Linked DNA regions of Oryctolagus cuniculus. The protein of the gene in region 2 purifies or fractionates together with the protein of the main gene of each other region. This does not show direct contact. Links are inferred from orthologs where the notes say so. Each region holds a gene or a part of one and is shown on either strand. Other genes may lie near its edges.

The links. The genes of interacting proteins can lie anywhere in the genome.
Region 1: the proteins of RICTOR (region 2) and FLNA purify together in Homo sapiens (affinity purification with mass spectrometry; 3 studies listed by BioGRID and IntAct, with this or other methods). This does not show direct contact. The link is inferred for Oryctolagus cuniculus from reciprocal best matches to the Homo sapiens genes RICTOR and FLNA.

What each region holds. Positions count from the first base shown.
Region 1 is NC_091453.1:132,580,053-132,585,694, reverse strand, and holds part of FLNA (filamin-A), read left to right. Parts: intron 1-1,526; coding exon 1,527-1,774; intron 1,775-1,886; coding exon 1,887-1,982; intron 1,983-2,141; coding exon 2,142-2,244; intron 2,245-2,347; coding exon 2,348-2,488; intron 2,489-2,594; coding exon 2,595-2,723; intron 2,724-2,918; coding exon 2,919-3,092; intron 3,093-3,179; coding exon 3,180-3,341; intron 3,342-3,442; coding exon 3,443-3,646; intron 3,647-3,727; coding exon 3,728-3,880; intron 3,881-3,975; coding exon 3,976-4,098; intron 4,099-4,184; coding exon 4,185-4,451; intron 4,452-4,598; coding exon 4,599-4,736; intron 4,737-4,964; coding exon 4,965-5,080; intron 5,081-5,620; coding exon 5,621-5,642. UniProt on the Homo sapiens protein: Promotes orthogonal branching of actin filaments and links actin filaments to membrane glycoproteins. Anchors various transmembrane proteins to the actin cytoskeleton and serves as a scaffold for a wide range of cytoplasmic signaling proteins.
Region 2 is NC_091445.1:64,474,597-64,480,953, forward strand, and holds the start of RICTOR (rapamycin-insensitive companion of mTOR), read right to left. Parts: upstream 3,504-6,357; 5' UTR 3,445-3,503; coding exon 3,396-3,444; intron 3,224-3,395; coding exon 3,176-3,223; intron 2,042-3,175; exon of another isoform or gene 1,905-2,041; intron 1-1,904. UniProt on the Homo sapiens protein: Component of the mechanistic target of rapamycin complex 2 (mTORC2), which transduces signals from growth factors to pathways involved in proliferation, cytoskeletal organization, lipogenesis and anabolic output.

The DNA.
Region 1 (5,642 bases), on a different chromosome or scaffold from region 2:
GGCACAGAAGTTTGCCTGCCCCAGCCAGGGGCACCTCTAAGAGGGGAGAATGACTTGAGGGCCTCTAGAGGCTGTAGGCCGGCCACTCAGGCAGGGTGGCCAGGGAGCAGGTTAGAGGGAGGCTAGGGTTTTGGAGCGGGGCTAGACAGCCTTGTAGAGTAGACTTTGGGATCGGGGGAGACCTGGTGCATGTGCAGGACTCAGACTAGGGGGTAGGGGAGAGGTTTGCATTAGCCTTAGTTTACGTGGCCCATGTGTGCAGTGTGGAGGCAGGGAGCCCAGCTCAGGGGCTGAAGTCACTTTTGGGTAAGCTGGACGGGTGGCTTGGGCCAGGCCAGTGGCCATGGGATTTCAGGTGGGAGCCCAGCCAGGACAGGGTACTTGGAGAATAGAGTAGCTAAGACCTGCTGATGGGCTGGGAAAGGTGGGAATCGGGGGTAGTTGTGAGGCTGGAGCCCTAGCCATGAGCTGGGTGGTGTGGGGTGCAGGTGAGTGAGGCCTCCCAGGGCAGCAGATAGCCAGCTGTAGAGCCCAGGAGACCCACCTGGGCTGTGGTCAGTCAGCATAGTGCCTAAGCAGGGGGAAGAACCCTTGGCCAGTAGGGGGACTTGGTGGCAGACTGGCCAGGGGTGCCCCCTGAACTTGACCCTCAAGCAAGTTTGGTGCTCCTGGCTGCTTCCTTGGCAGGAGGCCAGGCTACAGGGGTGCTCTCGCTGCCAGGCCTCACAGCCCACAGCTCCCCAAGCCTCCACAGCTGAGCCCCAGATCATAACGTCACTGTACCTCCCCTTTCCTCGGGCACTCTGGGGCCCTAGAGGCTATTCAGCTTCTCTGCCCTTGCAACCCAGTGGTGGTGGCTGTGGCTTGGGCCTCCTGTCCCTGTCCCCCTGGGTGCTGCCACTGCTCTGCCAAACCTGCTGTGCTGCACTGCCTGGGTGCTAACCTGGCTGCCTCCCGCCTCCCTGCTCCCGCCTGCGCCGGGCTGCCTCTCACAGTGAGCCGCTGGTTGAGCGAGCATTCTCAGTTGTCAGGAGACTCCAGTTTCACCTCCAGGCCTGGAGGGGGGTAGGAAGGCAAGTGTCACGTCCCCCCACGCTGCAGCAGGACTCTGCCTCACCGCGTCCACACAGCACTGGGGGCCAGGGCTGGGCCACAGGGGGTCCAGGCAGCCGTGGGCCTGGCTAGAGCGCTGCTGTTTGTCAGCACGGGCCACGATGCCAGTGAGGCCAAGTGGGGCAAGGGAGGGAGGTGGCGGTAGATGCTCATGCCGAGATGGGCCCTTCCTTCTCTTCCTGGGCACCCGAGTGCCCCCGGTCAGGCCTCTCAGGTGTCAGGGCTTGAGGTGGTCAGGAGAAGCCTTCCTGTCTTCTGAGAAAGCACTCGCCATCCCAGCTGAGGGTGGGGCGGGAGGCCTGGCTGTGCTTGGTGGTGGCGTTGAGGCCTGGGGGGCAGCCGGAAGACAGGAGCAGCCCAAGCGCAGAGCTCACGTGCTGGCCTCCCTTCGGGGACCTGCCCTGCCCTATCAGGTGCTGGCATCGGCCCCACCATCCAGATCGGGGAGGAGACGGTGATCACCGTGGACACAAAAGCGGCAGGCAAAGGCAAAGTGACCTGCACGGTGTGCACCCCTGATGGCTCAGAGGTGGACGTGGATGTGGTTGAGAACGAGGACGGCACCTTTGACATCTTCTACACAGCCCCGCAGCCAGGCAAATATGTAATCTGTGTGCGCTTTGGTGGCGAACATGTGCCCAACAGCCCCTTCCAAGTGACGGTAAGGAGGGCCCGGGGGCAGGATGCAGGGGGCTCTTGACAGGTCCAGCCTGGCCCGTCCCCCAGGGCCCCGCTGCGACAACAGACTCTCCAGCTCCCGCTCTGCTCCACAGGCTCTGGCTGGGGAACAGCCCGCGGCACAGCCCCCGTTACGGCCTCAGCAGCTGGCCCCACAGTACACCTATGCCCAGGGTGGCCAGCAGACCTGGGTACGGCAGGGCTCACCACCTCGCGGATCGCCCGGCCCAAAGAGATGTTCAGGGCTGGTGGGCAGGGAGTCCCATGGGCCCCGGCCGCTCTGCCACCTGCGAGGAGGGACCCCCACGTGCCCCCACAGCCACTTACCTGGGCCCCGTGTCTCCATGCAGGCCCCAGAGAGGCCCCTGGTGGGTGTCAACGGGCTGGACGTGACCAGCCTGAGGCCCTTTGACCTCGTCATCCCCTTCACCATCAAGAAGGGCGAGATCACCGGTGAGCATGAGGCGGGAAGGAGCGCGGGAGCCCGGGCGGCCGGGGCGAGCCACTGGGCGGCCCTGACCCAGCTCCGCTGCCCCACTGCCCTGCTGCCCCGCAGGGGAGGTCCGCATGCCCTCAGGCAAGGTGGCACAGCCCTCCATCACTGACAACAAGGACGGCACCGTGACCGTGCGCTATGCGCCCAGCGAGGCTGGCCTGCACGAGATGGACATCCGCTACGACAACATGCACATCCCAGGTGGGCCACCCTGCCTCTGGCCGGCCGCTGCCACCGCCATCTCGCAGAGAGGTGGGGGTGGAGGCACATGAGGCTGCCGTTTGACACGGCCCCCTTCCCGCCTCAGGGAGCCCCCTGCAGTTCTACGTGGATTACGTCAACTGCGGCCACGTCACTGCCTACGGGCCCGGCCTCAGTCACGGAGTGGTCAACAAGCCCGCCACGTTCACCGTCAACACCAAAGACGCGGGAGAAGGTGAGCGGCGCGTGCTGGGCATCCGGGACCTCCCCACTGGGGCGGCTGAGGGCTGAACGTGGGCGGGGTCCCTAACGGGGTAGCCCCGCCTGCCGGCCCCCGCCCCGCCCCGCCCCACCAGCGGGGCTCCTCCTCAGCAGGCGTGGCGGCGTGTCCCCGGGCACGGTGCCCACCCTCACCCGCACCTCTGGCCAGGGGGCTTGTCGCTGGCCATCGAGGGGCCTTCCAAAGCGGAAATCAGCTGTACGGACAACCAGGACGGGACGTGCAGCGTCTCCTACCTGCCCGTGCTGCCCGGCGACTACAGCATCCTGGTCAAGTACAACGAGCAGCACATCCCAGGCAGCCCCTTCACCGCCAGGGTCACAGGTGGGTGGCACTGGGAGCGGGGGTGGGCGTGCTCTCCCCTTGCAGCCCGACGCAGTGACGGATGGCCGCCCCCCGCCGCCCCCGCAGGTGACGACTCCATGCGGATGTCCCACCTGAAGGTGGGCTCTGCGGCCGACATCCCCATCAACATCTCGGAGACGGACCTCAGCCTGTTGACGGCCACCGTGGTGCCGCCCTCGGGCAGGGAGGAGCCCTGCCTGCTGAAGCGGCTGCGGAACGGCCACGTGGGTGAGAGGCTGAGGGGACTGCGGAGGAAGAGCGGCTGTGTGGGCGGGCGTGGGTGGGGGTGTCCGCGCCCGCCCCCGCTGACAGCCCCGCCCCGTGCCCAGGGATCTCATTCGTGCCCAAGGAGACAGGGGAGCACCTGGTGCACGTGAAGAAGAACGGGCAGCACGTGGCAAGCAGCCCCATCCCGGTGGTGATCAGCCAGTCGGAGATCGGGGATGCCAGCCGCGTGCGCGTGTCCGGCCAGGGCCTCCACGAGGGCCGCACCTTTGAGCCCGCGGAGTTTATCATCGACACTCGAGACGCAGGTAGGTGGCGGAGGCGGGCCCGCGGGGGCGGGGGACGTGGGTGGCGCTGGGCAGCCTGGCTCAGGGCTGTCCATCGCCCAGGCTACGGGGGGCTCAGCCTGTCCATCGAGGGTCCCAGCAAGGTGGACATCAACACGGAAGACCTGGAAGACGGCACGTGTAGGGTCACCTACTGCCCCACGGAACCCGGCAATTACATCATCAACATCAAGTTCGCTGACCAGCATGTGCCTGGTAGGTGTGGTGACAGTGCAGCCCCGCCCTCCCCCCAGCCCTACCGCACCCGGGTGTAACCCGCGCGGGGCATGGGCCGCACTCTCTCCCTGCAGGCAGCCCCTTCTCCGTGAAAGTGACAGGCGAGGGCCGGGTGAAAGAGAGCATCACACGCAGGCGGCGGGCCCCCTCGGTGGCCAACGTTGGCAGTCACTGCGACCTCAGCCTCAAGATCCCTGGTAGGGGCTGTGGGGAGCCAGGGAGGGCTGCTGGGAGCAGGTGGGGGCACAGACCTCCTACCCACCGGGCCACCTCCTCCCTGCAGAAATCAGCATCCAGGACATGACCGCACAGGTGACCAGCCCCTCGGGCAAGAGCCACGAGGCCGAGATCGTGGAAGGCGAGAACCACACCTACTGTATCCGCTTTGTGCCTGCTGAGATGGGCACGCACACAGTCAGTGTCAAGTACAAGGGCCAGCACGTGCCTGGAAGCCCCTTCCAGTTCACCGTGGGGCCCCTGGGGGAAGGAGGAGCCCACAAGGTTCGTGCTGGGGGCCCTGGCCTGGAGAGGGCTGAAGCCGGAGTGCCAGGTAGGCCCGCTTGCCCACCCAGCTCTTGCTCTTCTGGGTGCCCGGGGGCAGTGGGGGGGAGGCTGCCGGCAGCCACGCCATCGGGGCCATGGCGAGGGGCTGAGGGCAGAGGCGCAACCCTCCAGGAGGAAATACCGCTCTCCACAGCCGAATTCAGCATCTGGACCAGGGAAGCTGGCGCCGGGGGCCTGGCCATCGCCGTCGAGGGCCCCAGCAAGGCCGAGATCTCCTTTGAGGACCGCAAGGACGGCTCATGTGGTGTGGCCTACGTGGTCCAGGAGCCAGGTACCGGGGGCCTGGCCGGGGCTGGAGCAGGTCCTCAGGGAGGGAGCCGGGGTTGTCTTCCCCACCACCCTGGGGCCCCCACCACCCTCCACCTGCCTCGAAGCCTCAGAACGCCCCGCCCCGGGCTGTTGGTGGGGCAGGCAGGAGGCCCAGCCTCCGAGGAGCCAGACCTCCCATCGTGCCTGGCCTGGGCTGGCCCAGGATAGCCTCGTGTCCTCTCCCTGCCAGGTGACTACGAGGTGTCGGTCAAGTTCAACGAGGAGCACATCCCTGACAGTCCTTTCGTGGTGCCTGTGGCTTCTCCGTCCGGCGATGCCCGCCGCCTTACTGTTTCTAGTCTTCAGGTGAGGCACTGAGAGAAACTGGCCACCTGGGGCTCCTGGGCCCGGCCAGACCAGAGGCACCGCGAAGCACAGGCCAGGGTTCTGTGCCCAGTAACCCAGCCGGCCCAGCTCTGGGCCCCGGGCCCCTGCTCTGGCCGGGTCCAACCCGCACTTGGGGTTGGCAGGAAGCACCCTGCCCACCGCGTGGAGTTTTTCTCGTGTCTCAGGTCTAAAGGCTTTGAACAGGAGCCTGTGCCCCTTGAGCACCAGGGCTGAGGTTTAAAGAGGGAAAGCCTGCCAGGGTGGGGCCACTGTCCTTCCAGCTGTGGGGGCCCTGTGACTTCAGGGGTCTGGGCGGTGGGGGAGGGGTGGGGTAGTGTGGTGGGGGAACCTATGTCTGAAGCTTGCTGCCCCTAGCATATCAGTGGCTCTCCCTCTTTAAACCAAGTTGGACGCCAGATGGGTAAGTGTGAGCCCTGGGGCCTCCCAACTCTGGGGCCATGTACCGGCCCCGTGCCCGGTCCCCGCCACCCCATCTAACCTCGTCTGCTGTGCTTCCAGGAGTCAGGGCTAAAGGTCAACC
Region 2 (6,357 bases):
TCATCAACATTTTTAACTGCAAAACTCCAAGTAGGAAGCACAGCACTAACACTAGTACCAGAATCAAAGAACCTTAGAACACCAGCAGGCCCCAAGAAGCTCGTAAGACTAGCCTAGTCAGCTTAAGAAATTTTCTGAAGTCACAGAAAAATTCTAAGATTCTATAAAATAAAGTATCACATTTCATCTTAAGTGCATATAACGGGTTGTACTTCATTAGACTTAATTTACTGGCAATCTTTATTTTTTAAAAAAAGAGTTCTCTTTTTATAGTCATTACACTCAGGACCTCTACTTCAGATAAACTATACTTAATTAGTACAATACAAGGTCTCAACAAAAGGAAGCTTGAATACCAAAATCCTTACTTCTTATTAACATGTACATACTCTAAACAATTATTTGAAATATCTCCAATGTGATTTAAGAATCTTGATTTGACATGGTAGGAAAGTTGCTAATATGACAAAGTACCTGATCCTGTACTGAGTACTATAAGAACTACCTCATTTATTTCTCAGATTCTCAATAATCCTTTGAGGTTACCTCTTCTTTTTGAGATGAAGAAAGGAGGGGTTAAGCAAGGTCAAATAAGTTGCGCCAAATCACCCACCTCCTAAATATCACAGCTGAGATTACAACCCAGAATTATTTGACTTCATAGTTAGCTCTTTTTCATCACACACTAATGGCTCCCTTAGGGGTTACAATGATTTTAACTTCTATTTTATAAAGAACTTTGTTAGATATCTATACAATAAACCTCTCAAAGATTACATGAAAATAATTAGAGTAAGAGAAAACGGCGCCTTGACATTAATCAAAAAGTTATTTGGTTGCCTGAACTTTATCTTTTTTACATACTGTAATTCAATCCACAAACAGCTGCCCTTCAGCTGTAACCCAGACTGCCTCACAGTTCTCAAATCATTACTAAAGTTTAATTCCTCATGAACTTTCTTCAAGTTAGATCCACAAGCCTTTTTTGAACAATGAAACGTCTGTCAGAATAATAGTTTCTTTAAACAGTGTTGCTATAAAATGAATCTAACTCAGATTTTCTTTATTATAAACTTCCTTATGATTCAGGAATAGAGTTCTCATGTAACCTCTCACTCATAGTTGTAAATCACTTGTGAAATTGGTTTCAACTGGCTGTGTACATGTATTCCAAACTGAAATACATTTTGTCAGGGCAAACAAACAGTAGTCTCTGTATTATTTTTATATAATCCTGGAAATGCTTATGAACAGTTATTTATAAAATAAATTATTAGAGAATATAGCATTTTAAATAATAAACATACAGAGCTACATGTGTACCTGAGTAAAACTAGAGTAAACCCAAGGTATCCAAATTTATATCTGAGCTTTTATACAACCAAAATTTTTGATATCAGAAAAACAATGAAATACAAATATAGCTCAACAAATTCAATAAATTCAACAAAATTTAAGGTACAACTAAAATTTATTTCTAGCATGCCCAAGTAGGTTTTTAATGCACAAATTGACCTCAAGTTTACCTAGTATGTACTTTTCACCTCCCTCTAAAAACACACATGCTTGTGTGTGTGTGTGTGTACACAAATCTCTAATAAACTACATCTGTTATTTAACTCAAAATGCTAAATTTCAGGCCTGTTAAGAATGACCCTTATTTTTGTTCACAGGTTTCCTTGAAAACAGCAAACATTTCATACAAATTTTTTCCCTATGTCTGTCATATAGAGTTTTCAAACTACTGCACAAAAGCCGAAAGGCTGACGACATGTTTCTTCACTACTTTCTAACCTCTAAGCTGCTGAAAAACTGCTCCAAAGCAGTGCACTGGTGATCGTAATCAGTGCCATTTTTAGTACTCAAGCCCTACTATATTGTATTTTTGAAACTCTCTTGCCTACCAAAGTTCACGAAAACTCCGTCCTTGAAGTTGCAGAATAAAACACGGTTACAAAAATACACTCTCGTAGCTCCATGAAAACCGGCCTTCCAGTTTACAAAGGCTACCTCCCATCAGGACATACAGAACAAATCATACTACGCTTTAATTCAGCGATGATCCTCAACACCAAGCCCACGTCCACCATAAATACGTGGAGAGCGATTGTTACGTCAAGAACATAGGGTTAAGTAGCACATCGACCGCGTATCGACTGTTTACGACGACTTCAACTTCCTACAGCGCTTTACAGAGCTCAACAAGCAACTGATGCTATGCAGCTGAACCACGTTACACCACAAGCTACAGCTGGTACGCAACGGGACTTGGCGCGAACCAGCAGACCAAATCCTGTTTATCGTGCAGCAGAAAAGAACCTCGTCGCAAGTACCCAATCACGCAATCTTCGGCAAGACAAGGTGGAATAAAACCCCACTACGGTCCCGTCCCTGCTATGGAGAATACGGAGTGGAGCCGGAGCCGGTCCTTCAAAAGAGAAGCCAGGGTCACTCAGTTCCCAAGGTGTAAACAAACCCGTCGCCACTGCAGGAGGTAAACAATGAACCTGCAGCAGGGCGAGGGGGCGGTCTTCGGCGAAGCACGGTCCCAGCGGCCCGGGAAACAGAAACAGAAGGAAAACACGGCGGAAACCAGCCACGCAGCAGTCCTGACCGGCTCCAGGGCTCAGCACCGAGCTACCGATGCTGGCGGTCCCCACAGGACGCGGGGCAAAGAGAAAAAAAAAAAAAAAAAGGCAGGCACGCAGTGAGCAAAAAAGCCAGCAGGTCCGGCTTCTGCGCCGGGAGACGGGGAGGGCAGGATGTGGTCGCTCTTCCCTCAAACATCCTCCTGCAACCCAAATAACAACCTCCACCTCCCTCCGGCCGGCCCCGGGAGCCGGCGGCACGAGCTTCGGCACGGGTGGAAGCCGCTGCCCCCGGGGGCCACCGAGCCCAGGGGTCGCCGGCTCCGCCAGTTCCGCTCGCGGCTCCCCAGCCGCCCCCCCCCCCCGCGGCAGCCCGAGGCCCCCAGAGAAGGGTTCAGGCAGAGTGAAGCGGGCACCGGGAAGGGGGATGGGTTCAGCGAGGCGGCCTGGCGGGGCTCCCGCGGGCCGGCAGGCGGGGCTCGGGCTGCGCCCCCCGTCCCCGTCGCGGGTCCCGTGCGAGGCCCGCCCCGGCCCCAGCTCCTCCCCAGCAGCGCGCCCTCGCCGGCGCTCTCGGCGCCCCGCGTTACCTCGGGTCAGATCCAGCGGGACGTTCTCCTCGCCGCTGTCATTCCGCCCTGCGCGAAACAGACACACAGCCCCAATTAGGATTCGCTCGCAGGCCAGCGGCGGCTGCCCAGGCTCCGGCCAGCGCCCCCGCTCCGCTCCCCCGACCCAGGGCCAGGGGAAGGCAAGTGCCAGGGGTGGCGGGCGCCGAGAGGTGAGGAGTGAGGGCTGCAGCGCGCTTACCTCGTATTCGGAGGTTCTTCAGAGAGCGGCCGCGGCCGATCGCCGCCATATTGACGGGTTTCAGTCACAACACCGGAAACCTCGCCCAATCGCGCGAGAACCCCTTCCCCTCCCCGCGCGCCGCGCCCGCCCCCCGCGGCATCGCCCCCGCCCCCTCGGCGGCGGGTGGTGCCGGCTGCGCTCCGGCCGCGGAGGGAGCGCCGCGTCCACCCGGGGTCCGGGAGGAGGAGCTCGTGGCGTCCGCCCGCCCCGGCCCAGGGAGGCGAGGCGAGCGAGCGGCTGGGCCGTCGGAGGGCAAGTCCTCCGGGAGGGGACGTTTCCCACGCGGGGAGTCCCATTGATGGAGTTGGCGGCGTGGAGGATGCTTCTCCTCCGGCCGCCGCGGACACCAGGCGTCCGAGCCGAGCGAGGGGCGCAGGGGCAGAGGAGGGCGGCTGCGGCCGAGCGGCCACCTGCTCGGAGCGCGTGCTGCCGCCGGCTTAGCCCTGGAATCCGCGGCCGCGCTCAGACGAGCGTGCGGAGCGGCGCCCCGCGCAGTGTAGACTCCCGTAAATCCCGCGCTGCGAGAAGAGACTCGCTTTTCCCTGACCAAGTTAACGCGTCGCTGAGTTCTGTTCCTAGCCGTGCCACGCTCAGCTCTGGGGGGTGGGCAGAGTCGGGGCGGCGGGGTAGTGGAGTTGGAGCCCACCTGGCCGAGGTGGCGGGAGGGCCCCGGCCCGGGAGCGGAGTGCGCCCCGCGCGCCCCGCGCAGGCCCCGGGACGCGGTTTCCTCTCTGCGGGGGCCGAGAGCGGAGTCCCGGCTTGTGTCTGCAACTCCCGGAACGGTGGCAGATGGGGCGGTTGTGAAGGCGTATTTCTGTACACAAATCGAGCAGTTGGGAAGGACAGGAGTTTTAATTCGGGCGAGTGTTCTTTGATACCCTAATAGACACATCTGACCCCTGATGCAGCAACTTCCTCTGGGACCAGATGGACTCTAAAGAGGATGAGCTCTCTCGCTCTTGGTCCTCGACTCGTCTTCTAACTCCCTAGAGACTGAACGTGGGGCTCTATACCCTTAACCCCTTCTCTTTCTCAGCTGCCAGGAAATACAACCTCTACCCTAAAAAGAAATGTTGGAGTTTTTTGGTTTTTTTTTTTTTTTTTTTTTTTGCTGTTGCTAATAATAGTGAACAAGTGGGACCACTTCAATGACCAAACTTGAGAGGTGTGTGAAGTGCAGCAGCCGTTTCAAAAAACGATACGAATCTAGTAGGTTAATAAGAAACAATGGTTCACATTATTGAGTCAAGCAAGAGGTTACAAATTTCCTGGTTTGGAAACTTCTGAAATACACACACATTAAAAGGATGCATCACAAAATGGATGTGTCCACAGATAGAAGTCTGAAAAGATAGACATCGGAATGCTGGTTGGTTTTCCTCCCTCAGTTGTGGAATTACGTATGCTCTGGATGTTTTAAATGTCCTATAGTGCATGTGTATTTCATTCATATATATATATATGTCACTTGTAAAGGTGCATTGTAAGAAAAGTAAAGTAGGAGCACGGCTTTCTTACATGCTACCCACCATCTATGTGTTTCAGGTGCTTTTCCTACTACGTGTGCATTCAAACAACGTGGTGCTGCTCATACTGCACTTCGATTTAAGGATGACCTTACTTTAAGTAAATTTGTCCTGCCAATAACAGTAATTTTAATAACAGGAACAGGGCCGGCGCCGCGGCTCACTAGGCTAATCCTCTGCCTAGCGGCGCCGGCACACCGGGTTCTAGTCCCGGTCGGGGCGCCGGATTCTGTCCCGGTTGCCCCTCTTCCAGGCCAGCCCTCTGCTGTGGCCAGGGAGTGCAGTGGAGGATGGCCCAGGTGCTTGGGCCCTGCACCCCATGGGAGACCAGGAAAAGCACCTGGTTCCTGGCTCCTGCCATCGGATCAGCGCGGTGCGCTGGCCGCAGCGCGCCGGCCGCGGCGGCCATTGGAGGGTGAACCAACGGCAAAGGAAGACCTTTCTCTCTGTCTCTCTCTCTCACTGTCCACTCTGCCAGTCAAAAAAAAAAAAAAAAAAAAAAAAATAACAGGAACAAAGACTTGCCTTCACGTCTTGGTGCAAATTGCTCTACTTAGTGCACAGAACAAAAATCACAGAACTCGAGGTCTGGCCAGGACATTACAAGTTCTGTATTTCATCCCTTTATGTTTTACACTATTTCACCATTTTAGACAAAGTAGCCATGAAGAGCCTGCATCCTGTTATCTTTATAGCTATCCATGCCTACTTAAAGACCATTAGTCAATGACTCCACCTTTTAGAAGAAGAATCATCTTTCTTCAATTGTACAATGAAGCTAATTTTCCCTCTGTGACTATTCCACTCATTTGAGTGGTTAGGTTCTCCACATTGGCTCTTCAGAGGAAGTGCGTTCCTTGTAAAAAGAACAAGTTCTTAGTGTTTGCATATGGCACCCAACTGGGAAGCAGGAGTTTAGGTAAGATTTAGTAAGAAGCACATTTCACAATGTCATATTTGCTTTTGAAATACTAGCACTACATGATGGATTCTAGTCAACTTGATACTTGTGAGCATGTCTGAGTTTCCTCCTGTGACACTTGCCAAAAACTGGGCAGCCCTCCTTCTGCAACTTGTTTTTCTTGCTTGCTTCTTTTAGTCCACACATAGGACTTACTCATTGTGTTGACTTCTGACCACTTCTCCAATTTTATTTTGATTCTGATCTGGTCATCGAGAATGTGACTTCCTCTTCTTAATTTTCATTTCCCAGTTAGGTTTCGTTTGCTGTGTCAATGAACATCTTTTCTAGTACCGTCATTGATAAAACATGATCTATGAGGTTGGGTCCAAGCCCACACTCCCGAAAGGTGACTCCTTGTGTCTGCAAATATAGCACCTTTGCCGATAGTCCCTCTCTGGCTTCTGTTCTCTCTTGTGTTGCACGGAGTTAA